Oryzias latipes: one gene and its partner. The protein of the gene in region 1 interacts with the protein of each later gene in a biochemical or structural test. Links are inferred from orthologs where the notes say so. Each region holds a gene or a part of one and is shown in the gene's direction. Other genes may lie near its edges. The genes, in order: disks large homolog 4 and sema4c.

Region 1 (8,154 bases):
GCATCTGGTCTAAGACATGAACTAATGTTTAAGACTGGTGATACTGAGTTGCAAGACTCATTTTTAAAGACCTGGATGCAACAAAAAAAAGAGAAAAAAAGACGTAGTGGTTAAATTTTTTTTTTTTTTAACACACCAATAAAACTAAGGATGATCTCTGACGTCATCTACAGTATATATTGAGGGTTCTGTGTGAATGTGATTTTAAATACATAAATATGTTCTCTTTGCAATTTGGCTGCTACCTACAGGTGTTGCCACAGCGAATCATCTGCTTTCATCTAATCCTCTCTGCCTCCTTCTTGCTCAAACCAACCATCCTCATATCCTACACCCATCAACCTCCTTTTTGGCCTTTTTCCTGCAGCTCCAAATCTCAGACTCCTTTCACCACGAAAGGAGTCTGACCAGTTCCATCTCTCAACATGTCAAAACCATCTCAATCTGCTTCCCTGCATTTATCTCCAAAACATCTAACATGATCTGTTTATCTGATGGATTCACTGATGATCCTTTCCATCCTCATCACAATCAGAGAAAACCTCAACATCTTCATCTCTGCTATTTCCAGCTTTGCTTCCTGTCTCGTTCCCAGAGCCACTGTCATTAAACTAGGCAAAAATAAATAAATATATCAAACAAAAGAAAAGTCACACCCAGCAAAAAGAACTTCTAATAAAGTTAAAAAATGTTCTAGATAAATAAATAAAGATTTTGTACTAAAAGCCAGTGAAAAAAGTCTTTTTGGATTTGGATTGGATTTAGATTTAGGACTTGGAAAAATGCACCTCAAATTATTGGCATCATTATTAGGCCAATTAAAGAAAAGGGCACTTTATATGTCTTTAAAAGTATAGAGTACATTTTAAACAAACAGTTCTGTCGATTGTTTTAGTTTACATCAGTTGTTACTTTTAAGAAAATACTTTTTATAATATTATTAAAAAATGTTTATTATTAAATTCTTTTCAGAGTTGTTATTTTCTGATGTTCCGACTAATTCTCATTTATTTATTCCTTTGCAGTAGTTCCAGTTTATAGCACATCATACAGTTTTCATCACTTCCAAGCTGTTAAACAGTTACTAAAGAGGTAATGGATTCTGTTTGTTAATAACATGGTTAACTTGTCTTCGTCTCTCAGGTGAACAACGTGTGTTTGGAGGATGTGATGCACGAGGACGCGGTGGGGGCTCTGAAAAACACAGCCGAGGTGGTTTACCTCAGGGTGGCCAAGCCCAACAACCTCTTCCTAACCAACTCCTACAACCCTCCAGACCTCACCAGCAGTAAGCCTTTGCCTGAATGTTTTCTAGAGACACTTCGGGTGTCCCGAAAAACAATAACAAATGTCTTTATTTTACAATAAAATAGTTTTTAAAAGAAAACATAAAATACTTTTTTCTGTCTTCTATTATTTCTTTCTTCGTAGAAAAATAATGAACATCAATGAAACGTATTGCTTTTTTACCTTTACATGTTTCCAGAATCACAAAACTGTTACAGTGAAGCATCATTATTACATGAAAAATGGAAGAACAAAAATTCAAATAAGTCCAGGAAAAGAGCTTATAACAATTGTAAGACTAAAATAAAAATCATTCATCCTGCAAAAAACAGAACAAAAAGCTATAAAGAAACACAATATATATATATATATATATATAGACTGTAACACACATGAAAGAAAACAGCAAGAAATAAAAGCCAATTCATATGGAAAAGCTTTTATAGTAGAGACGGAACAAATGCACAACATGAGAAAAAGGGAGTAACAGGAAACAACAAGTAAATCAAAAAGCTGAAGCCAAAAATGAGGCGGATTTAACCCCGGGGAGCATTTAGAGCAGTTTAACCTGTCAGATTCCTCCAGCTGACCACATCTAGTAACAACAACTATAATTAAGCTTCACAGCAGTCAAGTGACTATTTCAAAGTAAAGTGCAGATAAAGATGGATAAGTTGACTTAAAATATATGTCATTTTTTTAATTTGTTTTTGTGGCAAAGCCGCAGGAACAACTAAAAACCCATTTGATACCAAAGAAAATAACACTTTTAGAGATTTACATGTTTTATTCCTCATCCATCCATCCATCCATCCATCCATCCATCCATCCATCCATCCATCCATCCATCCATCCATCCATCCATTTATTTCCTAAACCTGCTTAATTTCCATCATTGGGGGGTCACAGGGCTGCTGGAGCCTATCCCAGCTACTGTTGGGTGACAGCGATGTACACCCTTGGGCAGTTCGCCAGTCTGTCGCAGGGTCACTGTTCTATCCACAAAAATGTCAAAACTGTGTCAAAGAAAGGCAGTGAGCTGCAAGTGAGTTTGAAGTGTTAGTGAGTGGTTAGGCATAGAAATGTTTTGAAACAGTCTTCAAATCTCCCCGTTATTTAAGAAGCTCTAAAAAAGAAATCCTTGATGTATTCAGGACTACACATTTGTCATGCAAAACAGGCTCAAAACTTTCAGTGGAAAAATATTCTGTGCCTTCAAAAAGAACCCCTCTTATAACAATGCTTTGAATTGAACTTTTTGTTTATTTAATATGTGCTGAACAAGTACCAGGTACAATAATTGCCCCCAAAATCCGAAAATGTCTTGTGTGTTCCTTCAGCATATTCCCATATGGACACTGAACTCAGCCACCCCGGTTATCTTGGATCCGATTACCCACAAGCCCTCACTCCAACCTCGCCAAGTCGGTTTTCTCCTGTTCTGCATGGCATGATGGGAGACGATGACATCCCGAGGTGAGGATCATTGTTTAAAACAAAACATTTGCTAGACATAATGATTGATGTTTTAGTAGGAGCGTTAGCAAAGGAATGGAGTATAGTTGATTATCAGGAGTTCCAATTGTCCTCTTTTCATCGTTTCAGAGAACCTCGTCGGATTTTGATCCACAGAGGTTCCACAGGTCTGGGATTCAACATTGTTGGAGGTGAGGATGGAGAGGGTATCTTCATTTCCTTCATCCTGGCTGGAGGGCCAGCAGACCTCAGCGGGGAACTTCACAAAGGCGATCAGATCCTTAGTGTAAGAACACTTTGACTCATCTATTCTAGGGAATAGCTTTAGCTGTGGCCTTAAACACTCCTGCTTTGTGTGTGTGTGTGTGTGTGTGTGTGTGTGTAACAGGTAAATGGTGTGGATCTGCGTATGGCCACACATGAGCAGGCCGCTGCTGCACTGAAGAACGCGGGCCAGACTGTAACCATCGTCGCTCAGTACAGACCAGATGGTACAACCACAAACTCTGCATATGTGCTTGCACATTGAGAGAATTTTAAAAAGCTGTTTCCTGTCAATAACTGTGCCAACATGTCTTTTACACTCCACTAAAACCTGGCTTCAATATCTGACGGTTTATGTTGCAGGGATTTTTTTTCATCTCATAGAGTCTGATTTTAAAATAAAATTCATGTTGAAATTAAGTAACATTTTTTAGTTTTCATATCAAGACTGTAATACTTTCTTTTATGAAATAAAAAATGATTTAATATCTTATAAATAAAACCTTTCTAACCAATATGATAACGCACATAACAAGTGATCATTTAGAGTGTGAAATGTAAAACTTGTCTGTCTCAAAATGTTTGTGTCTTCTCTGCTACAGAGTACAGCCGCTTTGAGGCAAAAATCCACGACCTGAGGGAACAGCTAATGAACAGCAGCATGGGCTCTGGAACAACAACTTTGAGGAGTAACCCAAAGAGAGGCTTCTATATCAGGTCTCACACCGCAAAATGAAAACAGCACAAAACACAGTCATTCCGATACAGCAGCTTACTTCTGCAGGGAGAAGTCCACTGCCTTTGGACAAAAATGGTTGTGTTTCTATTTACTGAAAACTTATAATAATGTCATGTAAAGAAATAAAATTCCTTATATATGTATGTGAAAGAATTGTATCAACTTAGATTAGAGATGGGCAACTCCAGGCCTCGAGGGCCACATTTCTGCATGTTTTCCAACAATCCCTGCTCTGGCATGTTCTAATTGGCTGGACACATCTGAACCAGGTAATCAGTCATGAGTGGGGCTTGTATATCTGGAAATCATGCAGACACACAGGCCCTCGAGGTCTGAAGTTGCACATCCCTAACTTAGATCAAATAAAAAATTTTAAGGACAATATGTAGGTTTACTTAAGGCCCTTTAGGGTGCGCCAGGAATTCTCATATTCTTCAGCAAAGAAAAATGGTATTAAAGTGGTTTAGAATTCAATATGGCATTGGAAGCACTTAAGGTGTAACATATTTGCTGTTAGGAATACTTGTAAATGAAAAACATTGTTCCTTTTTTTTCCATGTTTTAGGGCTCTTTTTGACTATGACAAGACTGCAGACTGTGGCTTCCTCAGTCAAGCTCTTAGTTTTCGGTTTGGGGACGTGCTGCATGTGTTAGACTGCGGGGACGAAGAGTGGTGGCAAGCCCGCAGGGTCAGTCCCCAGAACGAGGCAGAGGAGGTCGGCTTCATTCCCAGCAAGCACAGGTACAACTCCTGAAAAATCCCATCTCAATAAAGTTACATTTAAATCTCTGTTGTGATTGTTTTGTTATTCCTCCTCATCCCTGTTTGCAGAGTGGAAAGGAAAGACTGGTCTCGTGGAAACACCAAAGAGAGGGTATGTTTGTTCTCTGAAACTCTTGCTCCAATCTGTCCTTCTGTGTGTAAATCTGACATCTTCTCTTTGTTGCAGGATCATGGTCGAGACAGCTTGAGCACTCAAGGTGATGAATTGAAACAAAACCTCACTATATGCTAGAATATACCATATTAAAGTGTCAGAGTGGGAGTGGAACCAGAGTGGAGCAGTGGTTAGCGCCTTCACCTCACAGTGGGAAGCCCCTGGTTTAAATCCTAACGGGTCCTGTCTCTGTGCAATTTGCATGTTCTCCTTGTGCATGTGTGGGTTTTCTCCAGGCACTCCGGCTTCCTCCCACTGTCCAAAAACATGCTTCATAGGTTGATTGATTACTCCAGATTGTCCTTAGGTGTGACTCTGAGTATGTATGCGTGTGTGATTGTGTGGTTCAACAACAGGCTGGTGACCTGTCCAGGGTGTACTCCACTTTCTACCAACTGAAGCCTGGTTAGGTTCTGGCAACCCCGTGGCCCCAAAAGGGCTAAAGCAGGTTAAGAAAATGGGTGGATGGATGGGAGTGGAACCACTTTTCAGCCCTAAACTTCATGCAAACTTCTTTTCCTTTACAAAGAAAAATGTATAACTTAGACATCAATTAATTAAATTTAGAGAAAGCCCATGTTCTCTGCTGTTAAACTTTGTAGATTTTTTTTAACTACTAAGAAGTTTAAAATGTTCTCATTCAGTCTATTTTCTTTCTAAACTGGAGAGATATGAAATGCCTTATTGACAAATGCCCTTACAGGTTATAGGTTAGTAAGGTTGAAGTAGGTCAGACGCAGGCACAATGGTAGGATTTTTTCTTTTTTCTCAACCTCCCTGAACCCTACGCTTTCTGCATGGGGCTCGTTAGTGATGTTCAAGTTATATGTGTGCGCCCGTTGTTCGTAGCCTGGCTGTTAGACAATCAGAGCGTAGTTTTCCTGGGCGTCCTTTTGCATCACCTGCACTCCCTGTGCGTGCAGCAAGGTTAGTAAGGAAGCAGTACTCGCAACGTACTAACGACTGGAGTGCTGCGGAAGGGCACTGCACGACATCATGAGTGTTTGTAACTTACATTATCCTTACAAATATTTCACGGTAACACATGCTCGATAATCGTATGTTTCATTTTCATGATCCCCCTTAAGGTGGCTGCATGAGCCACAAGGGAACTAAAAGACACACCTGTGCTGACCTTAAGATGCAGCCACTAGGACCCTCTACGGGCCCGGACAACCCACAGCACCCATGAGGGTCAACCCAACCTAAACGGGTGCTTGTGAATAAGAGCTTGAATGGATGGATTTGCTTTTAGTTGGCATAAGTCAAATACAGCCACGTTCACATAGATTTATGAAGATGCTAATTTGCAAATATAAAACCCAAAAGTTACTTTAAACCTGAAACTAAATTCAATTATATTCCGCCAACAGGGAGAGATAAGAAAATGTCACAAAGTTATGAGACGGTCACTCAAGTGGAAGGTAAGGCTGTGGAGTGAAATGTTTGAAACTCCATTTCAGCATCAAATAAAATCTCTGTTATGATTCCTCTTTTGTGTCTAATCCTGCTCTCTTTTTGTTCTTTTCCCTCGTGATAAGTACATTATGCGAGGCCCATTATCATTCTGGGTCCGGTGAAGGACAGGATAAATGACGACCTGTTGTCTGAGTTCCCTGATAAGTTTGGATCCTGCGTCCCTCGTGAGTAATTGTGCTGTCACTCACGGAGACTGACCTGTTTCTCACTTTTTAAATGACATGTCTGCTGCAGCTTGAGCAAGATGTCTGCAGAAAAGCAATAGCTTTATTTTTGACATTTGCTATAGCATATATAAAATGTACCATTCTGTTTTTTTTACTGTGTTTGACAGACACTACGAGGCCTAAGAGGGACTATGAAGTGGATGGAAGAGATTACCATTTTGTGTCGTCACGGGAACAGATGGAGAAAGATATCCAAAGCCATAGATTCATAGAGGCTGGCCAGTACAACAGTCACTTGTATGGCACCAGCGTTCAGAGCGTCCGAGAGGTGGCAGAACAGGTGCCTATTAACTTATTTGTTGATTCAAAACTATCTGTATGAGTTATGGATAACTGCTTCAAAACACATACAGTGTTTGGTTGGATACCACATACTAAAATACTAAATCAATTTGAAAGACCAATTTTATTCATTATCAAATTTTTTTTTAATCATTCAAAACCAACTCTATTTGGTTAAGAAAAACGTTACACATAACTAGTAACACAAACTGAAGAAATCTGTTACAGTGGGCAAACAGGTGGAGACCCAAGTGCAGCAAAATACTCCATTTGACAGTTGAGTCAATTGAAGGACAAATTAAATTTTAAAAAATCAAAACAAACAAAGGAGACCCAGAAACTAGGACATTAAATTAACACAGAGTGGTGGATAACACTAGAGCAAAGTAACATGGAGAACAACCAAACACACAAAGGAAGGGGAACCTCAAATACAAAATATAAAATTAACCAAATGCAAGCAGCTGTGAGTGGGCAGAACCTCTGGCAGGAGCTACAGGCTGCCTGCACAAAATACGGAAAAACAAACCATCCACTAAAGTTAACTAAAAAAGCGGGTCAAAAAGTGGAACTCTTTCTAGAAAAATATAAATCCTTACATCAAAAAGGTAACTAAAAGCAATTGATTGCCTACAAAAATACAATAAATGACACTGAAATCAATTGCCTGAATCAACATTGACTTGCAAAGTAAAGACTAATTTAAGTAAAATCTGATGCCCAATGTTTGCCTCCATAGGTAAAGTGAGGTGTGAATCCATTTTTAATTCATTTTTATGTAAGTATTTGTGTGTGCAGCACTTTGTGGTACTAGTTATAAAAAGTACTATATAAATACATTTGGTTGATATCAATAAAAACTTAGTTTTAACTAGCCGTAAAAGTATCCTATTGTACTCCAATTATCTTTTTTGTGTTACGCCTTGTTTCTGTTACTTTTTCTTTTTCCTTTAATGAAATTTGCTTTCTCTTCTGTCCTTCTATATTTGCACATGCAGCAAGGGAAACACTGCATCCTTGATGTCTCTGCCAATGCTGTCCGCAGACTACAAGCAGCTCAGCTGCATCCTATTGCCATCTTTGTCCGACCCAAATCCCTGGAGAATGTTCTGTACGTACTAGAATGCTAAATAATAAATTTTAAATGTTTGATTGAGAAATTATGTGTTTACTCTAAATTGAAAAATAAGGAGAGTACAAATTAAAGGAATGTGTGTGATGTCAACAGAGAAATCAACACTCGTCTGACAGAAGAGCAGGCCAGGAAAGGAATGGATCGAGCTCTTAAACTAGAACAAGACTTCCTGGAGTGTTTCACAGGTGAGATCAGACAGCGTTTGATGCAAAACTAATCAGTGCTCTGGTATTTGCACAGTCAAAGTTTCACATTTTAATCTTTATGTAGACTTTTAAACATCTCTAGGATATGACTTTTTATGGTCACCTTTTACCATTGCTAAGT
Region 2 (8,154 bases), on another chromosome or scaffold:
AGAAAAGCAGGTAGCCGAGTGACAAAAGGCTGCTAGAATAGCGGAACTATATTGGAACACCTGGAGGAGCATCTGGCAGCTATAATGAGGTTATTTCACGCGAGGTCAGAGGCATGACTGATTATGAAAAAAAAAAAAAGGAAAAAAGTGTCCTGGAGAGAAAAATAGATATGCAGAGGTTCATTTCTCCGCCTACAAGCAGTTGGAAATTAGTTTTTTCCCTGAAAGTGTGCAGATTTTCGACACCTTGTCCTCTTTGGCACATTATATTCAAAACCCAAAAAAGACAGGAAAAACTCTTGTGGAGGCGCTCAGGCTGCAATCTATAGTGGATATTTGGGTTTGTAGAGAGGTCAGGTGTTAGAAACAGGCAGGTGTCTGTAATGGAAACCCCTGCATGAGCCCAGAAAAACCTCCAAAAGCCACTGTCGAAGAACACAGTTCACCAAGCGACCCGTGAATGCAGCTCAAAGCTCCATCGTGCAGAGAAGTGGCCACATATGAACTCAGCTTTAATCCAGACAGAAGGGAAAAACATCCAGCAAATATAACCACTACAAATGACAGCTGTATGCTCCGACAGCCTGTGTTCAGTAATGTGTTTATGCCTAATTAAACTGTTTGGTGCTCGAGTCAACCGGCTGTGCTGTATCTCTGTTTCGCACAAAGCCCGTCTCATGGTTCCCCTGTGTGTTGCAGAGGAGGGCTGGCTGCAGAGGGTGGTGATCCTGGGCTCTGAGGCGCACGTGATCGAGGAGATCCAGCTGTTTGAGACAGCGCAGCCTGTGGACAGCCTGACCATCTCCCACTCTAAGGTAACCAAAACACTCCTGGCACTGACGCACACAGATCAGCTCCGAAATGCGGGGAAGGATATTTTGTTTGCTGAGGAATGTGTTGTGTCAACTCTGGAATGTTCTTGAATAGCTGTGGGTTTCTTCGCGTAAATATCCAGTGTCAGTTTTTTTTAGGAAAAAAACATGACCCTGACTCCTTTTTATTGCTTTGGATTGAGGAGGGTTTGAAGAGGATGGGGAGGGGGGGGGGCGGAGCTTGGCAATGGCTTAAATCACTGCAGTGCCGCTCTAAAACCTCTCACCTTCATTTACTTCCAAATAGAGTTTTTATTTACTGCAGCAGAGAAGCTCATTCTGCAGCAGCGCCGCGGCTCAGCATGGTCATCTCTGTGTGTTCAACTTTCTGTCTCTCTCAGAGATGAGACTTATGTCTCTGTCATGAAAACGCACAAAATAGTCCCAACTCTTTAGTTAAATTGGTTTCTTGGAGGTTCTACTAGAAAATCCCCAAATATCTTAGAAGTATCCTCATTTCTTTGATGGTTTCCTGCAGCAGAGAAATTGTCTCATCAGCTGGTCTCATGTGTCCCTGCAGTCATGCAGCATGGCGTCTGTGGATCGATGGTCTTTTAGCTGCGTGTTCTCAGTGCTAAAGCCCTCCGCTTATCTCGTTAATGCGGGCTTAGCCGCGACAGAAATATTTTATGACCGCTTTTGCACAAAAAAAAAAAAAGGCGCAAACCAGATTGGATTGGAAGAAGGTCAGAGGCTGCATGTTAATGTAATTGAGAGTGATTATCCCATTATCTCCTCCAACCCATAACTCCGTCCCTCGCTGTTTATCTTTCCTCGCCCATCTCTCCGGCACTCTGGTTTTTGGTGGACTCCCCCTCCGCCTCATCTGTCCTTCTCTCACGTTTCTTTCTGCCGTTTCTCCGCAGAAGTACTTGTACATCGGCTCCCGCTCTGAGGTCCTGCAGCTGCCCTTGGCCAACTGCAGCCGCTATCAGTCTCAGCCGGACTGTCTGCTCGCCAGGGACCCCTACTGCGCCTGGGACAACGAGGGGCGAGCCTGCGTCCGCATCGACCTTCACCGAGGGTGAGACCCGTTCGGCCTCTCGTGTACTTGATATATCGAGGGGAATCCTGTTGCTATGGAGGTTCCTTATGGACAAGTGAAGCCTTGAAATCCCATATTTAGATCAGGGGTCTACAACCTGAGGCCCCGGAGGCTCTTTTTAGTAACATGTCTTGGTGCATCAAGCAAAACAAAACTGTCAGATAAGTCAAACTTTATTCATTCATTCACAAACAGTTGAAGCACAAAATGTATCACTCCTCCAGGCTCCTGACTACAGTACCCATAATGCTTCTACAATCCATCATCAAAAAGTGCGGCTTCACTGTTTACCAAAGTCAAACCTTTTAACAGATTTTTGAGCGCCGTGTACCACAGAAAATCTTAAGGTCAGCAAGCACAACGGGAATTCATATTTAAGGCGGACCGGATTATAAGGCGGACTGTCTATTATTGAACAAAATTCAAGGATTTTAAGTGCGTTTTGTGGTCTGAAAAATGTTTAAAAATTCACTTAATTAGTTCCTATGTAATTTTAGTTGGTGGCACAGATTTAACAAGGTACTGGAAACATTCCTCAGAGAGTTAAATACAAATCAGTGTCTTATTTTTCTAAAGGAAGTCAGACTCTGTCTCCTCTGCTCAGTATGAATGTCCAGCTCATTCTTAGTTCATGTAAAAAATGAAAAATAAGAAAGCTAAATCTCCTCTTCTTGTCTCCAGGTCCACCTCCTCCCTCTCACAGGACCTCATGCTGGATCGGTTCAGTCGTGGAAAAGCCAAGTTCGATAAGCCGGTATCCATTCCCAGCCCCGGTGAGGACAAGGCTGCAACTCACTAGTGGCCCCTAGTGGTAGTGAGCTGTCAATACATGCACTGCACCGCATGTGTAGAAAGAGCAGTTGATTATAGCTAAAAAAAAAATGTTTTCTTCTCTTGACCTTACTCCCCCCTCTTCTCCAACCCCCACAGAGCACTCCCGCCTCAGAAACGTTACGGTGGTCGTGGGGTCGGACATGATGCTTCCCTGTCAGCTGGTGTCAAACCTGGCGCAGCCATGCTGGGTCCTCAATGACCGTGAGCTCCAGCTGGGGGACTCGGAGGCACGAGGGCCACGCTTCGACAGAACCCTAAAGGCTCTCGTGATCCCAGAGGCGGGGCAGATGCAAGCGGGCCGATACGTCTGCTACTCTGAGGAGCAGGGGGTCAAGTTCCAGACGGAGCGCTATCAGGTGGCGGTGGTCGCCAGCGCTCCGGTGTTCATGGAAGCCCGGGCGCCAGACAGCAGCATGGGCCTCTTCTGGGTGCTGGTCATCACACTGGGGGCGGCGTGCCTGCTGCTCCTTGTGGCGGCTCTCTACCTGCGCAGGAGGCTGAAGCTGGCGCTCGGGAAGGGGGCTGACATGAAGCCACTCGAAAGCACCCTGGTCTACCCAATCACGCTGCCCAAAGACCCGCCCACATTTGTCCCAAGCAAGATGCCCACCGATGAAGACCGGTTCTGGGAGACGGGTGCAAACTACTACTACTCTGACGGCTCGTTGAAGATCGTCCCCGGCCACGCCCTAGGCCCCAGCAGCGTCAGCAGCACGGCGTCGCCCAGCGCCATACCCGGCCAGCCCATCCACTCCCCCAGCCGTCTCAGCCTCACCAACATTCGAGGCTCCGGTAGCAACGGCTACATCCGCCTCAACTTGAGCACAGCAGGGGAGGAGAGGGCTAGTGGGGCTGGTGCTGGGGGCGGCGGGTTGGGAGGGCTGGGCGTGAGCGGGAACGACTACTCGAGCCCCTTCAAGGAGGAGCTGAGACGCACCCTGCAGCAGAGAAGCGTCCTGCCCGATGCAAACCCAGAGGAGTCGTCCGTGTAGGCGCCTCCTCCGCCTCCACCCAGTTGGAAAACAAAAACAACCGACCTACCTCCCTCCTTTTGAGGACGCCTGCTCTCCGTTAGTGACACGCCGTCGACTCCCATGCCGTCTCTTCTTTTCCGCCAACACCTGTTTGGCTCCTGTAGACATTTCTGGCACACAGCATGTTGAAACCACACGTCTGCACTCCGCACTCGGCGACATGCGCTCTCACGATTACCGTGTCTTTGGCGACACGCCGTCACGGTTTTTCTGCTTCCACTGTGCGACTGCCACTTGTGTAAATTTTGTATTTAAAAAAGGATGAACACAGAGGAGATCACCTCAAGCATGGAAACCGAACTGAAGGGTGTTTTTTTTTGTTTCTCTCTTAAGTTGAGCCCTCCACCTACAAGGAAACTGGGCAACCTCCTGGAATATGGAAGGGATTCCTTTGAGACTTTTACTGCACTTACAAAAATGGAAGCATGTCTTCCTCCCTTGTTTTGTACTAGTGAGCCAGGAGGGGAATGTAGTTGGAGACTCCAAAGACTAATGAATCTCCAGGCAAGTCGACAATCATGTCCCCGTGACAGGAGCTCCTGGGTGGGACAGAAAGGAGAACAGAGACAGGCAAAAACGGCGGAGAAGTGAACTGGAGAAAAAGGACATAAACGAGGATTTCTCAATGAAGGACAATCTTTAAAGACTTTGTACCTATATGAAATACCCGCCCCCTTTCCTATGTTTTATTACCGCTTTGATTTGATGTGATAGTTTGAATTAAGATGTTTCTTGTTGTGCTTCTTTCCCCTCTGTCTTACGAACGACACCGGTGTTTCCAGAGTTTTGCAAAAGACTGACTTTTTTTTGGCTGGGGGGACTCGCTCAGTCCTGCACGCCGCCCTTCTAGTCCAACGCACGGCGGGGTGGGTCGCTGTTTTTGGATGCTCTTTCGCCTGCTCGGGAAAAGAGAAGCTGTTTGGTGCCGAGCGGCGTCACAATTCTTGCACAGTTGATTCCAAACTGAAGAAGACATGAAGACATTAGGCGCAAAGAATGTAGTCGAACCCTCATCGTCGTGACCGCTGTGGATGTTTCATTAAGTGCTTTATATGTAACGCTGTCAGTGGGGGTGGGTACTTGCACTGCCAAGAAGGAAACTACCACTCCGACACACACAGACACAAACACACAATGTAGTACCTGGCATTTTGGGTACAACAGCGCGATTGTGATGCACCTTTAAAGTCCATGAACCCCCTTCCTTCTGACTCCCAGAGACTGACCCGGAGCTACTGTGGATTTATACAGTGGAAGATTCACTGTAACACACACCAACACAAAAAGAACACAGACCCAGTTTGGTAGAAGAGCGGACTGATTGCTGCCATGCTGAGAATTGACTTGGTCCAGGCAGGAAGCAGCTGTGGATCTGAAAAAAGCAGAGGTAATTTCCCTGCCTTTCTTTTTTTTTTTTTACATAGTTTATATAATCCAAATGGTTTTTGACACTAAAGAACTCGAAAGAAGAGGAATAAGCTCAACAAAGACAAATTTCTTCAGAAATTCTGACTGTTTTTTAAGGAATCCCTGAAATTGAAGACCCACTCCGATGAAAATTGAGTTGATGTTTTTTTAACATGTTTTTGGGGCATTTTTCTTACTATGGACAGAAAGACAAAGAAGTAAAAATTGCATTTCTGAGTATTTCTTTATTAAAATGTTGTGAGTTGTGCCAACAGTCCTGCTCCCAACTCAAAGGTAAATCTGTAATGAACTACTGCTTCTCTGTCCTAGAAAACACCAGTGTTTTTTATTTTGCCCAAAAATAACATAATCAGAATTAAAAAACCACTGGGAAAACGTTTACTATAGATTAAAAGATAATTAGAGTGGGACTTTAAAGTCAGAATGTAAATAATAGAATCAGAACTATGGTCTTATTTTTATCAAATGTTTTATTTAACATCATTCCACAGAGCTCCAAATTCTCTAAAGTTTTATCTTTTTCAAATTTCTTGTATTTTTCATTGATTCGTACTTAAATTTCTTTTTTTTTTTACATAGTTTTCTTACATAAACTGTTCTAATTTAGCTTTTAATTTGAATTATTTCAAAGCTTTAAAATATTTTTTTTAAAAGATAACATTATAAATTGTGAAGCTATATTTTATTTTTAATTTGATTAAACACCTTTTTCTTTGATGTATTCTTCAATAACTTGATAACTCACAGAGAAAAGCCTTTTTGGTTGAGCTGCACTCACCTGTGCATTGCAGCTTCTCCTATTTTGAAACCAGTCTCCTCAGAAAATGACACAGCTAGTGTTTCTGAAACCAGCTGCATGTTGGGTTCTTTGTTTCACGCTGGTAACAGGTGACGACAGTTTCATGGTAAAAGCTTGATGGAGGAGAGCCAGCGGTGTACACTGTGGAAGCTCTTTTCCTCTCAGGCGGCCTCTTCTGTTTTTTTGAGCGTCTCTGTCCATGAAGCCCGCTCTGTTTGTACTTTTGACTTAAAAGCTGCCACTTCTTATCTCTTGTTCCAGTTAAAAGTTTAAAGTCTCACTCTAATCGTCTTTGGATCTATTTTTAAATCATTCCTAGTGGTCTTTTAATCATGATTGTGCAGTTTTTAGCCAAAATTGAAAATAAATCTGTGTTATCGTTTCTGCAGAGCGGCAGTACTTCATTATAAATTTACCTCTGAGCTGTGGGTGGGACTGTTGATGCAGAGCAACCCTTCCTTATAGCTGATAGCTCTCTGTTTACATGCCCTTCCGCTACCTGACAGCCCCTCACGGCTGCAACATAAAACTACGTACACACCAGGCATTTTTGTGCATCAAACACACATTCAGCCCATGGTGTTTACACTGGACAAGCAGGGCGGGACTTCGTCTTTTTCTTTTTTTTACTAGTGCATGTCCGCCACCTACAGTTGGAATAGGCTTGGTGCTAAATGTCGGAGAGGTTCAAATCCCACGATTTGGGCACAAAATGGAAACGGTTCGGTTCATTGCAAGCATCCTTGCAATGATTGACAGTGATTACTGCCATATCAGGAGAGTGGCCTTGGTTTATCTTTATTTAAAAAACAAAAATAGGCTCATCGATGTATGTGTTCACCAGATAAACCAGCTACACCCTGAGTTTGGTGAATTTCACTGCTTGCTCCAGGAGCTGTGCCCTGAATTATGGCCACCTCTCCCGGGGCCAATCATCCATACGTCACTACCACATCCAAGTCTCTGATTGGTCGATTTTTGACCTGGATGTGCAATGGCCATGCGTTTTGTACGTAGAGCCCGAAAGGTTTTGATCGTGGAAGCCTGAAACACGCATTTACATTGATGATTTCAATCATTTATATAAAGGAATACCTAATATTCTTTATAAATGTCCTCCATCATCAGAAAAATGCCTCAAGAACACGTTAAAAACACAATTTTCACCAATGGGTCTTTATAGACTGAATGCATTTTATTTATTTATTTTTTAATGTGGAACAATGTGTGCTGCTTCCAGCTTCGACAGCCTCACCTGTCGTCATTTAAAAGGGTTTTCCTCCATGAAGGGTTATTGTCATAATTTTCCTAGAATTCCAGACAGGTTTTTGTATTAGCAAAAGCATTAAACACCAAACAACTGCATTTTCTGTCAGCGTGAGCTGCTCCTGCGCTCCATCTGTGGTTGTAGACTCGAGTTCTTGTCATGTATTGGGTGCTTTGTGACCGGTCAGCCTCTCGTCAAAGATGTCCTAGTACATTGGGGGTTTTTTTATGAAATGCCTTGGGGGGACAGGTGCGTCAGAGAAGCTGCTTTCCTGGCAGCAGATAAGAAAAGAGCCCACACGCGGCCTGCAGCCAGCAGCCGGAGGATTGCATTAAAAAAGAAAGAGATGTGCTCTTGACAAAATATCAGAACAGCTTGACCCGGTTCTGACTGAAACAAGCGGTCACTGACAATTTTCTGATTCATAATTCCTTATAATCTGCCAGTCGGAACCCACAGCTGTCACTTATTTGTATCATTTTGAAAAAACCTTAAGTTAAGGAAGTTTTTCCGAAAATTGATTTCAATATTTCCTCTTAGGCAGAGCTTTTCAATTTTTGTCTGCCACCAACCCATATTTGTTTCCTGTTTTAGCATCCCATCAGCGGTGGCCTTTGGTAGTTCTGCAGATGTTCCCGTCAGGAGATCGGAGGAGCAGCGTGTGCAGGACCGGACCACAGAATAACGCTTCGAGCCCGCCGTGTACAGAGAGGGATGTAGAATATCCGAATGACCTGAAGGCTGAGTCAATCCCAGTGTTGCATGGACTGCACATCATCCTCGTTCATCTTTTTCGATCAACTTTTTTTCTGGACACTAACGCCGTGCGACACTAACGTTCTTTAAAAAAAAAAAAACTGTTGAGCGTCTGATTC

The links.
Region 2: the proteins of disks large homolog 4 (region 1) and sema4c form a complex in vitro, tested with the Homo sapiens proteins (2 studies listed by BioGRID and IntAct, with this or other methods). The link is inferred for Oryzias latipes from reciprocal best matches to the Homo sapiens genes DLG4 and SEMA4C.

Annotation. Positions count from the first base shown.
Region 1 is NC_019872.2:14,405,201-14,413,354, forward strand, and holds part of disks large homolog 4, read left to right. Parts: intron 1-1,143; coding exon 1,144-1,288; intron 1,289-2,627; coding exon 2,628-2,763; intron 2,764-2,892; coding exon 2,893-3,049; intron 3,050-3,151; coding exon 3,152-3,254; intron 3,255-3,629; coding exon 3,630-3,744; intron 3,745-4,331; coding exon 4,332-4,508; intron 4,509-4,598; coding exon 4,599-4,641; intron 4,642-4,716; coding exon 4,717-4,747; intron 4,748-6,077; coding exon 6,078-6,128; intron 6,129-6,245; coding exon 6,246-6,347; intron 6,348-6,517; coding exon 6,518-6,690; intron 6,691-7,690; coding exon 7,691-7,803; intron 7,804-7,920; coding exon 7,921-8,012; intron 8,013-8,154. UniProt on the Homo sapiens protein: Postsynaptic scaffolding protein that plays a critical role in synaptogenesis and synaptic plasticity by providing a platform for the postsynaptic clustering of crucial synaptic proteins.
Region 2 is NC_019867.2:24,338,979-24,347,132, forward strand, and holds part of sema4c (semaphorin-4C), read left to right. Parts: intron 1-699; coding exon 700-815; intron 816-1,738; coding exon 1,739-1,896; intron 1,897-2,598; coding exon 2,599-2,690; intron 2,691-2,847; coding exon 2,848-3,743; 3' UTR 3,744-5,172; intron 5,173-7,873; 3' UTR 7,874-8,154.